2 linked regions of the Tamandua tetradactyla genome follow. The protein of the gene in region 1 interacts with the protein of each later gene in a pairwise test. Links are inferred from orthologs where the notes say so. Each region holds a gene or a part of one and is shown on either strand. Other genes may lie near its edges.

Region 1 (8,250 bases):
TTCAGATAGAGTGGAGTGGCTACTCTTACACAAGCTTCAGCTAGATATTGCTAATCACCACAGTTTACCAAAACCATTCCCGTTACCCTAAAGAATACCCAGGGCTCTAACTGAGATTCTACCAAAGTTTCACACACTAAGATTACTTTCCAGAAACCCACAGCCTCCAGATGGTTCCTAGGCCAGATGAGTCCTGAAACCCAGAGGGGCCAGCCTCTCCAAGAACATCAACTAGTTCCCTCCCCCATCCCATATTATCGACACCCCTTTCCAACATGATAAGGTAGAATGGGCACAACCCAAATATCCCTAAAGATTGGGAGAAGGATCAAAGGGGAAGAAACAAAGAAGATAGGGCTTAACAAATGAGTATAATTGCTGAATCATTATACTGATATTTCTTTTGGTCTCCAGTGTCTTGGAGCAACTAGAAGGAAAAACCTGAAATTACTGAACTGCAACCCACACTAAACTCTGAAATCTATTCTATAAGTACTTGTTACAGTGAACTTTGAAATTTATTGCATTTTTGTACGTACATCATATTTCATGATAAAAAATGTTTTAAAAATTTGCATATATAATCTAAGTAAAAATGTACCCTCAAAACTAGTCCCCCGAGGCTCACTTAAAAGACTGCCACTTCTGGGCGGGCCACGGTGGCTCAGCGGGCAAAGTGCTTGCCTGCTATGCCGGAGGACCTCGGTTCGATTCCCGGCCCCAGCCCATGTAACAAAAACGGAGAAACAGAATACAATAAAAACAAGAAAATGTTTAAAGATGTTTCCCTTTCTTCCTTCCTTCCTTCCTTCTATCCTTCCTTCCTTCTCTCTGTCTTTCCTTTAAAAAAAAAAAAAAAAAAAAAAGACTGCCACTTCTAACCTGGGCTTCATAGGAATTCTGTCATCAACATGATGGGAAATACAAGATGCTCTTAATACTACAAAATAAAATACTTACAGGGCACCAAGCAGTGGCACTGTGCAGTTTTCAAAGTACTTCCACCAGACTCTCCTGCTCTCTATTTTATCCACTCACCCCTGGGAGTCAAGACAGTTTGTCCTATCCTCATTTTTTCAGCTACTCAAAGAAATTAAAGTGACTATCCAAAAGCAGTGTTGGTGACAACTCTGGGCCTAAAACCTTAGCTTATTGATCTCTCCACTGTCGTGCACTCCAGTAATAGTAAGCTCAGTTTTTGTGGAGGGTTTTTTTTTTCTGGTAGATTTTTTTCCCCCATCATGAATGGTGGCATTAGATTGTGGCACCAGGTTCCAAAAATCCATTTCATGCCAAGTCTTTCGGGTAGAAAAAACATTTTGAAAATACAGAATCAAATATGCCCCCCTGGTGTTAGTACATACATTTAGCCATAAGTACTTATTGACTAAAGGGTTTCCAGCCAATTACCTAGTGTTCAAAAAGTGGCAGGCCATGCAATTCTGCAAATAGAAATATGTAATCTATTAGTCAAAAAATCCACTCACGAGGAAGCACTATTTATAGTTTAAGTGCCAGAGCTTGATTTTTTCTTCTTTTATAATTCATCTTTCTCAAAATATTAAATTTAGATTACTTCGCATATTACAGGCTCTTCACTTAAATATGCTCTTAATTCCTCTACATAATTCTGTATGATTTAACCATCATTTCAATTCTCTTACTATTTATTGCATGCAGCTCTTCTAATATTAGTACATATCATTTTAGACATAAATAGGGCACTGCCTGCCAAAAAATCTTGCTACTGTATGATAATTGAAAGTCATGATTATTTCTTAGATAAATTAAGTTATACAAATGAGCTACATTTCGCTTTTCTCAAATTACTTAATATTTTTCAACAAAGGCCTATAATTTTAGAGTATGCAGATCATGTCACATTTCAGGTTTTCAAATTCGATCTGCTTATGAATCTGCTAATTGTAAAAATTTCAACATGGCAGAGTGAAAAATATTTCACACAAGTGCAAATAGAGATGTCACGCAGATAGCTGCAAGACATGAATCATTCTCCTTCTGCCTCAAACTCTGAAATTCAGAGGCAGTTCGCGCTGCAGATTTCTTGCTCAGTTCTTGAAACTTCAGATGCATCACCTTTTAATCAGAGTAATAAACTATAATTGCTAACATACTGTGTAATGTTTACTGCTAAACCTACAATCTGGACAAACAGAAAATTATGCTGTCAAAGCCTGGAAACAACTGCAGTCCGTTGTTACACATGGCACCCTGCTTATAGAGCGGTCGTGGGGAGTCAGAATGTTTTGTGCTCTTAATTTTTTAAGAGTAAGGGTCTTTTCCCCGAGAAGAAAGTCTTAAGAAGCAAGCCGCCTCCTGCGTGACCTTCCCCACACAGACCTTGAGTGAGTGACTGTGGGGGCAGAGAGCCGTGAATTTTCAACAAGGGACTTGACAGCTCCACTGGGTCCCTCACACTTTGCTTTCAGGAACAACAACAAAAAAGAATGCTACTCTGCACCTGCCTCCCCCAACCCTCTCCTTAAAACTTAAAATACGTTTACCCCTAATGGTCTGAAAGGCCATTGAATCTATTCTGTCCTGTGATGCCAAGAGAAAATAACCCCCATCGAGGAGCAGCGCCTGCAATGAGGGGTGAGAACGGGGTAAGGGGAGAGCAAGGTGAGGGGAGAAGAGAATGAATGAGGGAAGCGGGAGGTTGGCAAGGATGGTGCTCTCTCTCCCCACTGCGCTGCATTTTCTCCACCACGTGTAATGATCACGCAAGTGGCACTCCACCAAAGGCCAGGGTCTGTGTCCTCTGCATCCCTAACGAGGACCCTCAGCCTCCTCCCCGACTCGGGGACCCTCCGCCACCCGCAGCCCGGGCCGCTTGGCGCCCCAGGTACGGAGCTCCGGCTCCTCACAGCCGCACCCGCGGGCGGACTCCGGGACAGGAGCAGAGCCGCAGAGCCCCGGCTCCCAGTTGCGGGCCTTTCCCGAGATACCTTTTATCCAGGCAGGCGATCCACTCGGCAGAGGAGGAAGAATGGGCAGCGTGCGCAGCGACCATGTTGGGCAGCGGTGCGCCGTGTCCCCCAGCTGCGGCGACCTCCCGCTCGCTCTGCCTCGGCTCCGCCTCGCGGACCCCGCTCCTCCCTGCCCGCCCCGCCACCAGCGCGGCTGCAACGGGCCCGCCCTCCCCGCGGGCTCCCACGGCCTGCGGGGCAGGGGGCCCGGCGAGGGAGGGGCCTGGAGGGGCGGGACGCGGGGCCGAGCAGGGCCCGAGCCGCCCGCGGGCTGCACTGCGGCGCGCGAGGTGAGAAGTCCCTCAGGCCCGCCCGCCGGAGGTGGGGGTGAGACCCCAGGTAGCCGGCCACCTGCGACAGGTGGCCAAGGCGTCCCCGGGAGACCTGGGTCCCACCCCTCACTTAGGCGCCTCAGAAGCAGGGAAGGAGGGAGAGCGGCACGGGTGTACGGGGGGAGGGGTTGGGGAGGGTGTTGGCAGTGTCTATATATTTTTCATACAGCAAAAGCCACTAAAATGGCTGCTGCTTCTCTGTTTCCTTAGAAACCCATTAGTCTTCTTTAGCAGCTGTCAAAACTTGCTGGCAATCTCTTGCTCACCTTTCATGTCTCCCCTTAAAAAGTGATGGAAGGTAAGAAAGAGTAGTGCAGTGTGAGGATGGGAACACACACACAGTGGTTTCTGGAATTCAGAAGACAGTTTCTCCTGAGAGGTGAGGAAGGGCTGGGACAGAGGGGAACCGTCTGAGGCAGGGAGGGAAGGCCGTTGGGCCAGAATGGGCTGAAAAGAAAAAGTGACCAGTGGTGGCTAAGGGAATGAAAAACTGAAGTCACTAATGATGATCTTAGCAGGGCTTGAAATCACCTGCCTGATGAAAAGAAATGCAATTAAAAATGTGTAGTGGGGCAGCAAGCAGAAATGAGATTTAGAAATGTAGGGGCCACGATCCCAAGGAACTTGGGTTAACTGGGACGGTTGGCCCCACACGCCATTCTCTCCGGAACTGGAGTTGTTGAATGGGTTGTCATAACAATCTGTCTACTGTGGATGTTCACAAGTGTTATATGTAGAAGTTATTCAGTTACACTCTGCCAGAAATTAAATTATTTGCTGGAATTTGGAGACAATTTAAATCTTTTGGCATACTACTAAGCAAGGTTTCGATATCTGTGGTGTGAGTTTGGGAACAGACAATGGGGACACAAAAAGCCTTACTTTCCTTGCTTCTTCTCTCCTATCCATTCCTTCACTACCTTGCTGGGAGGAGACTGCAGATGCTTTCTGGGATGCTTTTATCCTAATAAAACTACTGTGATATTAAAGACCTCCAAAGAATTTGTCAGTTCCCCTCCTTTGGATAGCTAGGATCTGGTTTCAGACCTGCCATAGTGTTCCCTCAGCAGCAAGTGCCTGCTGCTCCTGCCAGCTCCGGTTGATCTCCATCCTGTTTATTTCTATAAGGTTAATTGCATACAAATATTATACTATATAAAGATTAACAGATGTATATATATTGCTGCTTTTTTATGATATAGGTATGGAAGAAGGAAATGAGGCTCCTAGATTTATTAGGTTTAAGTTATAAAGGCATCAGAGAACTACTGAGGATGTTTCAAGGTCGCCAGGTACTTTCTCAAAATGCCTTTACTCAGAGAACATTTAGAGGTAAGGAGCTAGAGGAGAAGGGAACGGCACCATGTCTGTCATTACACAGAGGCTCAGAGGTGCTGTTGTTTTCAGCATCCACTGAGTGTCAGATGCTATGCAGAGTTCTTTACATGTGTTATCTCATTTAATCTTTACAACATTCTATGAGGCAGAGCCAGAAGGACAGGTGCCCAAGCCACTACTCCACGAAGAGAGATAAACATCTTTGAAAATGTAATGTGATTGGGAAATTATATTTGTCAGTACTCAGAGAGGGCGCTGACTGGTGTAGAAGAAAGCAGCTGATAAGCTGCTTGGGGGTGAGACGTGCGTGTTAAGGAGAGTGGGAGGCCTTTGTTTTGCTGCATGGGACCCTGCTTTTCCTCTAAATAGAATTTGAAGAATTATCTAAAAAATATCCTTTCAAAGGAACACCAACAATTATTAGCTAACCCAGAGCATATAAACATATCCATCCAGCTCTAGTAACTCCAAAATACTCACTAGCACACTGTAACTCAAGAAGGCGTTGATAACTTGCCCCTGATAACCCAGTTTGAGCTGGGGGCCCTGAATTAGATTTTAGATCTGATTTCAGTCCTTGCACCTCATTCTGTCAGTAGAATGACTGCCTGATTGATAAGAACAAAATTCACCTGTATTGAAAGAGTCAGTTATTTTTGGTTATGAATCAGTTGTTTTTGTGTAGGAAGAGGGAAGTTTGTGAGGAACAAAAGATAAAAAGAGGTCCTTGAAATATCAGGAATAGCTTTACTGTTCTACACATTATTTTTGTGACCTGAAAGGGATTTGATTGTTGGTCAAGAGCTACGGACGAATGAGAAGTTGATGATTAGTTATCTTATTATAAGGAGCAGGAAAATATGGGATTTTGTTTGGTTTGCATGGGAAAGGCAAAGAAACAAAGAATATTTTTTTCCTTTCTTTAAAGAACATAAATTAGGCCAGACCAAAAAGACAATATATTATATGATCCATTTATATGAAATGCAGAAAAAGTCAATTTATAGTGAAAGAAAGTAGAATGATTGCCTGTGTCTGGCAGGTGGGAACGGGGAATGACTGCAGATGGGCCCAAGGGATCTTTTTGGGTTGGTGGAAATGTTCTAAAATTAGATAGTGGTGATGGTTTCAGAACTCTGTAAATTTAATAAAAATCATTTAAATTGTACATTTAAAATGAGTAAATTTTTTGTATGTAAATTATAGCTCAATAAAGCTGTAAAAAAGTAAATAATTATAACAATAAAACACACATTGCTTTTTTGGGGGGGAAATAAAGTTTAGGAGAGAGTAAAAATTACCCATCATCATTCCACCACCTAGAGATAACATCGTTAATATTTTAGTGCATTTCATTCCGAGCATTTCTATTTTAAAAATATGCAATCATACACATAAATACATACATGTAACTAGCTGTTTACTTTCAATCATGTATATGTGTATATGTATATAGATAGTTGTATGTATACAGACTGGAAAGCATTAGTTATTTTATAGGCTACTTTTTCTACTTGGAAAACAAAAATGCTTGGCATGTTTAAAAAACTCTTCATTAAAAAGTTTTACTGGCTACAAAATATTCTAAAGTATGGATATAATTTACCCATCTTTTGACATGTTTTTTTTTTCCAATGACAAAATATATTTTTCACTAATCTCCTTCCAATCGTTTAGTGAGTTCTCTCTTTCTATAAGAAAGCTAAAGAGCTCCAGTGGGTGAAGACAAGGAGTCACAAACCCCAGGCCTGCAAATGCCACTTATTACCAGCTGTAGACCTTGAATGAGTCATTCAATGTCTGAGTTTTATGTTGTGCATTGAGTAGAGGTTCAAAGTCCGGAATTTGGAGATTAGCAGCCATGTTCGAATTGCAGCTCCGTCTCTTACTAAGTGTGTGACCTTAAGTGGATTTCTTGGACTGTTTCATCAGCTGCAAGTGTAGAAATTAATAGTATGATACATGAACATGATGCTGGTAGGACACTTAGCCTAAGAGCTAGCACATAGTGAATGTTCAAGAACACAGCTCTTACCATCATTATTCTCGGTACACTACAGATAAAGAGTAACTGCCTTCTGTATTTCACAGGGATCTGGTGGGAATCAGTTGAGATCACTTATACTAAAGGGTCTTGACACCTGTAAATTGCAAGTTTCAGTTGCATATGGTACAAAGGATTAATGTCCCTGAGAAACACTAAAGCTTTTCAGAGACACTTTTAGACTTTCACAGTCTTTTCTCCATTTGCTCTAACTCTGCCATTCTTCGTATGAAAACTAAAAGCACATAATGGTGGGTTGTTACTGCAATGTATAGAACAGCAGCACAGTGATTGAAGTAGGAGAGGGTCCTACATTTTCCTGTCATAGCATCCTGACCAGTGCTATCGTAGATTGGACATTCCAGTTTTCTATGTATGGGGAGAACCGTCACAATGTTCTGGTACCTCATTGGAAGCTGAGTTATAAGAACCATCTATAACTCCCACTGGTGATAGAACCAACTCACTGAACAAGCAGTACTCCTAGAGTGAGATCTTCAAGGCAATTTTTAATGTTTTTTCTCACTACCACTTTAAACTTGTTCGGTGCGGGTAATTCTATTCCTGCAGCTGAATATAGCAGTTTTTGGTCCCTTATAGGTAACAAAAAGTGCTAGCTAGGGTCTTTCTCTTAGAATGTCTGGACCAATATCTTCCTGAATACTTCAGTCTTTCTTCTAAGATCATTCTTTCTTCCTCTCCCCAACCACAGCTGGTCACAGGCATGTCTCTGACTTTTGGAAAGAAGTGTGGTCAGCTTCTTGTCCTCTTGTTCACCTCTGCCAGGATCCGAGGAAAGAAAAGGAAAGAGGGAAAGTCCATACTTGACTGTGAAGCAGTAAGCTGGCTTCACATTTACCAGGCCTGGCAGATGTGTTAAGCAGGTGCTGGCACATATTCCCTGGCTGCCGCCCTGCTAGGCCTCTATTTGTGGGCAGTGCCACCCTTTTGGCTCCCTGCTCCCCATTCAAACTTGACATTCCTGAAGTCCCTTGCATGCTGACTCCCTCTGTGGGAGTCCCAATTTACCCAATTCCCCACCCCAGTTGTCTTTTTGGGTGGGATTTAAAGGGGCTGGTTTTCTCTTGCATGTCCTGCATCTGGTCAATGGACACACTCTTGCCTACTTTTGCCCATTAAACTCTGAAGGTGCAGGCCAGTTCCAACAAAGCAGCATGCCATCCTCTTTCTCTTGCCTAAGAAACTCACCAATCCCTCTCTCTTGATCTTTAAGGATCTTGGGCTGAAATCAGACACCAGTCCTCTGTGCCCCAGACCACAAGGTAACTTCTCAAGTGGCAGGCCCAATTGAAGCCCTTCTTTCCTTTCCCTTGGTGGTGGGAATCAGTCCAGCTCTCACCAAAGAGATACTTCTTGCAAAATCCTCCTTCAGTTTTCTCTTCCTGGACAATTCTTCCTTTGGGTGTGGAATTTTTTTTTTTTTTCCGGGGAGTGATGTTTTTGGTAATTTGATTCAAAGTCTGCATCCTGACATCTCACTTTGCAATTTTGTATCTATTCTATTGTGGTTCCTCAGATAAAAGTT
Region 2 (7,689 bases), on another chromosome or scaffold:
AAAATTGCTATGACGTTGCTGGACAAAAGCATTTATTTCTCTTGGAATAATACCCAGGGCTGGAATTGCTGTGTAATAGGATACACATATATTTAGTTTTATAGGATATCACCCAACAGTTTTCTAAAGTGGTTGTACTATTTTATACACCTAATAGCAGTGAATGGTTGTTTTGATTTCTTCATATCCTCACCATCACTTGGTAGGGTTAGCTTTTAAAATTTTAGTCACTGTGCTATGAGTAAAATGCCCATCACACATCTGTAAGAAATCTTAACATTTTCGCTTCAGATTTCTTTTAAGAACTATAAAGTTTAGATATCTGCTTGCAAATCTACTGAAAGAATTATGGGTATTTATAATGCTGTTATTGCAACTTTTCTGTAGGTTTGAAATTTTCAAAGTAAAAAGTTTGAGAAAAAATAAATGTAAATTTTAGGTACAGCTGAAATAAACTATTTACCCTTCCCCAATCTTTTTCCTCTGCCTCCCCAGAGGTTGCTATCATCTTGAGTATGTTATTTATACTCATGTATACGCATATAGATTAATGGACAATAATAGCATTATTTTGTAGATTTCAAAAGCTTATGTGTGATATCATACTATACCTATCGTTTCACTAATGACCTTTTTTCCCTCTCATTATGCTTCCAAGAAGTATCCATATTGACTTATGTAGTTCTGGTTTGTATATTGATGTATAGGAGTCTATTATATGAATTTACCACAATATATCAATTTTCCCATCAATGGAGCATAAAAGATGCTCCCAATTTTCTGCAGCTACAAACATTGCTGCATTGAAAGTTCTTGTGCCCATTTCTTTGCATACATGGCAGGAGTTTCTTTGGGGTATATACCTAGAAGTAGAATTACACATCTTCAACTTGATTAGGGAGTGCCAACCTACTCTTAAAAGAAGTTATATCAATTTATTTGCTCATTAGCATGATATGAAGGTTCAGATGAGATGACAGCACATATAATTATTAGACATTTTTGCCTATCTGATGCTATGTCCTTGTTTAAATTTTCATTTCTCTTTTTATTAATGAGATTAAGAATCTTTTCATATTAAACTTTTTCCTCCCTATGAACTATTTTTATCCTTTGCCCATTTTTTTTTTTTACTGGGATGTCATTTTCTTATTAATACGCAGAATTAAAAAGAAACATGTACTTGCTATTAATCCTTTGCCCATTTTTCTACTGGGATTTAATTTTCTTATTAATGTAGAGTTTATTAAAAATATATACTGGATACTAATCTTTTGCCAATATTGTTAATTACAGTATTTCTTCCTGGTTTGTTTTTACTTTGTTTATAGTGAGTTGCATTGAACTGAAATATTCTAATTTTAATGTAGTTAAACTTAGTATTTTTTTGGTAAGGTTCATGTTTTTTGTGTCTCAATTAACATATTTTTCTATTTTAAAGTATGAAGGTATTCTCCCATATCATCTTACAACATTTTCAAATTTTAACTTCTACATGTAGATCTTTGATCCATCTGGAATTTGTGTGTGTGTATGTATGGGTGCATACATGATAGGAAGTATAAGGTTAAAAATCTATACTGCTTTGTAGTGCCTCACTTTGTCATATATCAACTTTCCAAATATGCGTGGATCTATTTGAGGGCTCTCAAGTTTATTCTTATGTCTTAAGCCTTTATAATGGGTTTTGATATCTGACAGTTAAGTTCTTCCTACTCTATTTATATACTTCAACACTGGCTTACCTTTTTCTGGTCCTTTGCTCTTCCTTTTAATTTTTGAATCAGCTTGTCAACATCTTTTAAAACTCCTTTTCTGTATTGAAGTTTCCACTGGAATTGCACTGAGGAGAACTGCCATCTTTATGATACACCCGTGAATATGGTATATCTATATCTCCATTTTCTTCACTTCTTAAAATGTTGCTTAACAAAGCAACATGAAAATAAATAAGTGAATAAATAAATAATTGCTCCAGGAGACATAAAATAATCTTTTTCTCCTCAAAGGTCTTTCTTTGCTATTATGATTATATTTGTATGTTTGATTGATAAAGTTAGTTGTACAAAAATACTACTATTCTTATGTGTTTATTTTATTTCCAAAACCCTGCTCTTATTAATTTTAGTAGCTTATCTGTGAATTTGCTTGCATTTTAATGTAGATGAGTACATTGTCTGAAAAGGAAAGTTTTATTTCTTCTGTTTTAATTCTTATACCATGTTTCTTTTTCAGGTTTAATTAGGATAGAGCCCCTCAGAAGTGGAAATTGTTCACATCCTTTTCTTGTTCCTGACTTAATGGAGGTGTTAGTAGAGCGTCAACAGTAAATACATTTGCCATAGACATTTGATAGTTACTCCCTAGAAGGTTAGAAAGTGTCCGTCTGTTTTTAGTTAGCTAAGAAAAAATATTTAGATACATATGGTCAAGAAATTTTTTACTGCTGCTTTTTATCTACTTTTGGTATCAAGATTATACTATCCTCATAAACAATGTTTATAAAGTAAGCATTAACTATTATTTCATAAAATTCATCCATAAAACTGTCTGGCCTGTTGTCTCTGTGAGAATGAAAATGAAAATAATTTTTTCTATTAAAATTTAATGTTTGAAATGGTTATTGATTTGGTTTCTTATTTCTTAAATACATTTAGATATATTTTTAGAAAATTATCCATTTTAACTCAGTTTAAAACTTAATAAAATTGTAATCTGTTTCCTTTTCCACTCTTCATAGTACTCATGTGTGCCTATTTTGTTTGTTTTTTCCCTCCAAGGAATTAGATTTTGATTTTATTGATATCCCTATTGCTTTTTTTTTTTTTTTTTTTTGCATAGGCAAAAGGCGCTGGTAATCAAACCTGAGTCTCTGGCGTGGCAAGTGAGAATTCTGCCACTGAACCACTATTGCCCGCCTTTTTTGGGGCAGGGGTGGGGTGGGTGGGTGGGTGCATGTTCTGGGAATCCAGCTGGGGTCTCCCACATAGAAGGCCAGCATTCTAACCACTGAACTACCAGTGCACCCCCTATTGCGTTTTGATTTTTCTATTTCATTAGTTTATGCTCTTATTTTCATTATTTCTTTTTTTTTCTTACTTTGCTTAGGTTTCACTGCTATTTTTTTCTCAAGTTACTTGAGTTGAAGGTTTAATCTATTTATTTTTAGTCTTACATTTCTAAATGAGTGCATTTAATGCCATACATTTACTTACATCAAAATTTACAAGTTTGGGTATGTGATACTTTCATTGTTATCCAGGTCTAAATAATTTTTTTTTTTTTTCGCATGGGCAGGCACCAGGAATCAAACCCGGGTCTCTGGCATGGCAGGCGAGAACTCTGCCTGCTGAGCCACCATGGCCCACCCAGTTCTAAATAATTTTTGATTTTCATTGTCATTTCCTTCTCCTCCCATGAGCTGGTTAGAAGCCCATTACTGGTGATAACTTTCTAGAGGCTTTTGTTACCAGTTACTAATCCGTTTTCTTAAAGAACTGGTCATTTTATACTTCACAAACCATGCAGATACCAGAATTGTCCCAGGTAGCATCTTAAAAAAAAAACAACGACAAATAACAAACTAATTTTTATCAATCATGGTTCTGACTTTTACTAAATATTTCGCTCTGTATTTTTAATGCTGCCATGCTTTTCTAGTAAGATATAACTCTGGGTTTTTTGAAAAGTAAAGATCCCACGCTCCACATAGCCGTGAGCACCTGAGTCCAAAATATTTTCATCTCTCTTTCAAGTTCACAGAAACTCACACAGAATCGACACAGGTATTCCCAGACAGGACTGGATTTCACATCCAGTTTCGCATCCAGCTTATACCCACGGATGCAAACGACAGAGGTCATCAAAGAAGCACACTCATTCAAGCACAGAACCCACGGATCCAGGTCCGCACTCACGCTTCTGTACGCACACTCCCCACAAAGATGGATCCATTGCCCACAGGCAGAGACGCGCTCACAAATCCCACTCAATGCCCAGCAGCCCGCTGACAGATAACTAGTCCCCAGCGCCGTCACCCTCATGCAGAGCCTCCACCAGCACGAATCTCTGTGAGGTTCTCCAGGATGATCAGAGGACTTTTCTTGCTCTCTTTGGGATGGTTTTATTTTAGTTGCTTCTGTTGTTGGTCTTAAGAGTTCTCAACCTCCCCTCTTTCTCCCTACCCAGCCCCCAAGCCTTGCCCCCCTAAGTCTTCACTGCGCATGCTCCCTGCATCCCTCCCCCCTCCTGGGTACCAGTCGGCGCTCCCTGGCCCTGCCAGCGGAAGAGATGGAGCCGCGTCACGAGCGCCCGGCCCCTTAAAACGCTGCTGGCTGGAGCCACCTCCCTCCCTGCAGCCCGCGGCGGGGATGGAGTAAAGGGAGGCGCGTCGACCTCCTCGCGCGGATCAGCGATGGAGTTAAAGCCATCCCTGTCCACCCATTTGGAAGCTGAGAAGCCTCTGAGGCGCTATGGGGCGGTGGAGGAGACGGCGTGGAAAGCCGAGGGACTGGGGAGAAGTGAGTACTTGGGCGGGGACACAGTTGGAGAGAGGTGCGCTCGAGCCGGTGGTCGTCGGAGCACGGGGGACAGCGGGAGCAAACCCTAGGAGGCGCCCCCACAGCGGCGCTTTTATCCGGGAGGGGGTGGGGGGTGGGATGCGCAGCACTGCACAGCGACGCGCTGTCCCCGCGAACAAAAGGGGGACCCTTCAGGCTGGGCTTCGCAGGGGAGGCTCAGAAAATCGCTAGTCTTGTTAAGCCGGGAGCCTGGGTCTGTCTTTCCCGCAGCCGAGAGCAGGCTCCTTTCTCCGCCGGAATGAGCTTAGGGGCTCGCGCCGTAGGACCATCCTAGAAAGCGCCCACGTCCCTGGAGAGGGGGGGAGTGTCCGCTGGACTTCCGCTCTGCTTTTCCCCAACGTGAGGTTCAGGGCACACCTGAAATTCCCAGGGTTTCTTTCCCCTCTTCTGAGTCGGGAAGGGTTAGAGGTGGAGGGCGGGAGACTGAGAGGGGGAGGTTAACCCTGTGCGCACCCTTCTTTCTCCCTCGACTCAATTGAAGTCTTGGGTTTGGTTACAATCCTAGAATGCAGTGCTGAAGCAGACCGGTTGTATTTGCCGGTCTGCTCTACAGATTTTCGGTGCCAGCATTTCCCAAACACAAAACGAAGGATTTTTGTTTTTAATTGATAGGACACAACAGTTGAAACTCCTGCCCTCAAAGTGCAGAGGCAGTCGTGGGGCCGTGAGATCACCAGCCCTCCCTGCAAATCCGGCGGGTTTCCCTCTGCCCCTGCCCTTGCATTGCTTGCACGGTGCCTCCGGCCAAGCTGGGAAAGGCTCGCTCGCCCTTCTCAAGGAGCCTGCGGCTTCCTGCCTTGGCTCCAGGTAAATGTGCCCAGCGCTCCTCCTGGGCACCAATCTCAGAGCTGTGTTGAGCCAAAGTATTGTGAATGTGCTTCTTTCCCGTCTCACCTGGAAGAAAACTGTGTGTGCAAGTGTGTGCTTTATTCATACTTGGAATTATGAATTGAGAAATCTTTCCACAATGGCTCAGCTCTATTCTGGTTATGATGGGTTCAAATTGAAATCAAATCAAATCAAATCAAATCAACGTCTTAGTTCTTCACCTGCTGGGATGGAAGAGGTAGGGTTTTCTACCTCTCCTCTTCTTTCCTTTCCTTTCTTTTTTCCTTCCTTCTTTCTTCCTTCTTTCTTCCCTCCCTCCTTCCCTCCTTTCCTTCCTTCCTCCCCCTCCCTCTTCCCTCTTTCTCCCCTTCCTTCCTTCCTTCCTTCCTTCCTTCCTCTCTCTCTCTTGCTTTCACTCTCTCTCACTTTTTCTTTCTCTCCCCATCTCTCCTTCCTTCCTCCTTCTGTTTCTTCTTCTCTTCTACCTCATCTGCATCCTTTTTTTCTTTTCTCCTTCTCCCTCTCCTGGGTCATTTCTCTGTGTTTCAACTTTTTAGGCTTTGGTCCTCTGTCATGACATCTGGGCTGAGAGTCTCTATTTCCTAAAAGCTGAAAATTATGGCTTTTATGGCAGATTACCATTTGCCTACCAGGTCCTGTGCTAAGAACTTTAAATGCGGCATCCCATTTAATCCCCACAACAACCTTCTGAGGTGAGTATATCATGACTTGCCCTGCACAGATGGGGAAACCAGCTTGTTAGGTGATATGACTAAGTGGCAGAGCCAGGATTCAAACCCAGTTTTGTTAGACCACAGAGTCCTGTTTTTAATCATAAAGTTTGATTGCTTTCACATTTTCAGGAATCTTCCTAAAGGTGTTGAGGGAATCCCAGAATATGTTCAGCAGTTTTATGAGTTTGGGGCAGCTCTGTTGCGCTCTGATCGCACAGTGGCCTTAGGACAAGAAAGAATGTGAGGGTCCATGTTGAGTATAAGCTGTATCTGAGTATGTCGTGGATTCAAATCCTGTCTTTGTCCTTTATTAGCTGGGTGATTTTAGGCACATTTCTAAGCCTCTCTCTGCCTCAGTTTTCTGAAAATGGTTATAAAGGTGCTTATCTTATAACTTTCTTCTAAATATTAAATAAGACGATGTATCTAGACCTCAAGGTAAATGCTTAATATATAATAGCTGCTTCCATTATATTATTGCTACATGTGTATAAGGAGCCTGCTTTTTCTTTGCAAGGAATTACATAAAGCCACACCCCAAACTCAACTCTAATGTTGGTCAGTTCCCTAATAACTCTCTGGTAGTATTTATTTCCTTACTATTTTATTGGGAGCATTTTCAAACATGCAGAAAAAAATTTAGTGAACATCCAATTTAAAGTGTTGTAGCTCCCTGAATTTTTTATATGGCTAAGTCCCGGGCTACAAACTGTTAAAAAAAACCTTGAGTAAAATGCTTTATCCTTCTCTCCTCCGAGTCATCAGATTGTCAGTCTTGTTTCTTATCCGAATGCAAGACCACGGTTTCTGATCTGCTTTTCCATGCATCCCCAAATCCAGGTGGGGCTTTTCCTTCCTTTTTACATATTCAAACTTGAAATCTTCTTAAAGCTTTGCTCCAGAGTCCCACTTTTGAATCTTGGCTCTGAGATTTTTTGAATCTTGGCTTTAGCCATTTTTTTTTCATCTTTAGATGCATGGCTGCATCCTGGCATATTGTTTTGGAACTCCCTCTCAATTCCCAGGAGATACATGGAACCATCTCATAATGTCTGGGGCTTCCATTTATTTGTTAATGAAATATAAAAATTAGTAGCATTGATTCTGTGGCACAATGAAAGCCAAGTTAATATTATAATGCATGATATGCTGGAGGAAATGAGAGGGTCATTGAGAAGGAGGAGGCATGGGCTGTTTAACTTCTATACATATTTAAATATTTTTATAAGATACTGAGTGTGTGTTAATTAAAAAGAATTGAAAAGGGGAAAACAATTACAGAACAGGTTGTTTCAAATTAACTTTCATATTTAATTTTAACTATAGTTTTGAAATAGGTTATGTAATGTATAGTACAGTAGTAAAGAGTGGTAGTTATTGAAATCAGCTCTACACTATATAGCTTTGTTCAATTGTCTTATCTGTAAAATGGGGATAATAATTGTAACCCTCACTTTGGTCTGTATATAATGCATTTATCACAATGCCTGGCACATGGTAAGCACGCAATCAATGCTGATTGGTTGATGTAGTAGGACATAAGTGAA

Evidence for each region.
Region 2: the proteins of RAPGEF4 (region 1) and BMERB1 interact in binary tests that used the Homo sapiens proteins (3 or more experiments, as listed by UniProt). The link is inferred for Tamandua tetradactyla from reciprocal best matches to the Homo sapiens genes RAPGEF4 and BMERB1.

What each region holds. Positions count from the first base shown.
Region 1 is NC_135329.1:144,543,718-144,551,967, reverse strand, and holds the start of RAPGEF4 (rap guanine nucleotide exchange factor 4), read right to left. Parts: upstream 3,070-8,250; 5' UTR 3,035-3,069; coding exon 2,970-3,034; intron 1-2,969.
Region 2 is NC_135349.1:37,583,118-37,590,806, forward strand, and holds the start of BMERB1 (bMERB domain-containing protein 1), read left to right. Parts: upstream 1-4,364; 5' UTR 4,365-4,414; coding exon 4,415-4,520; intron 4,521-7,689.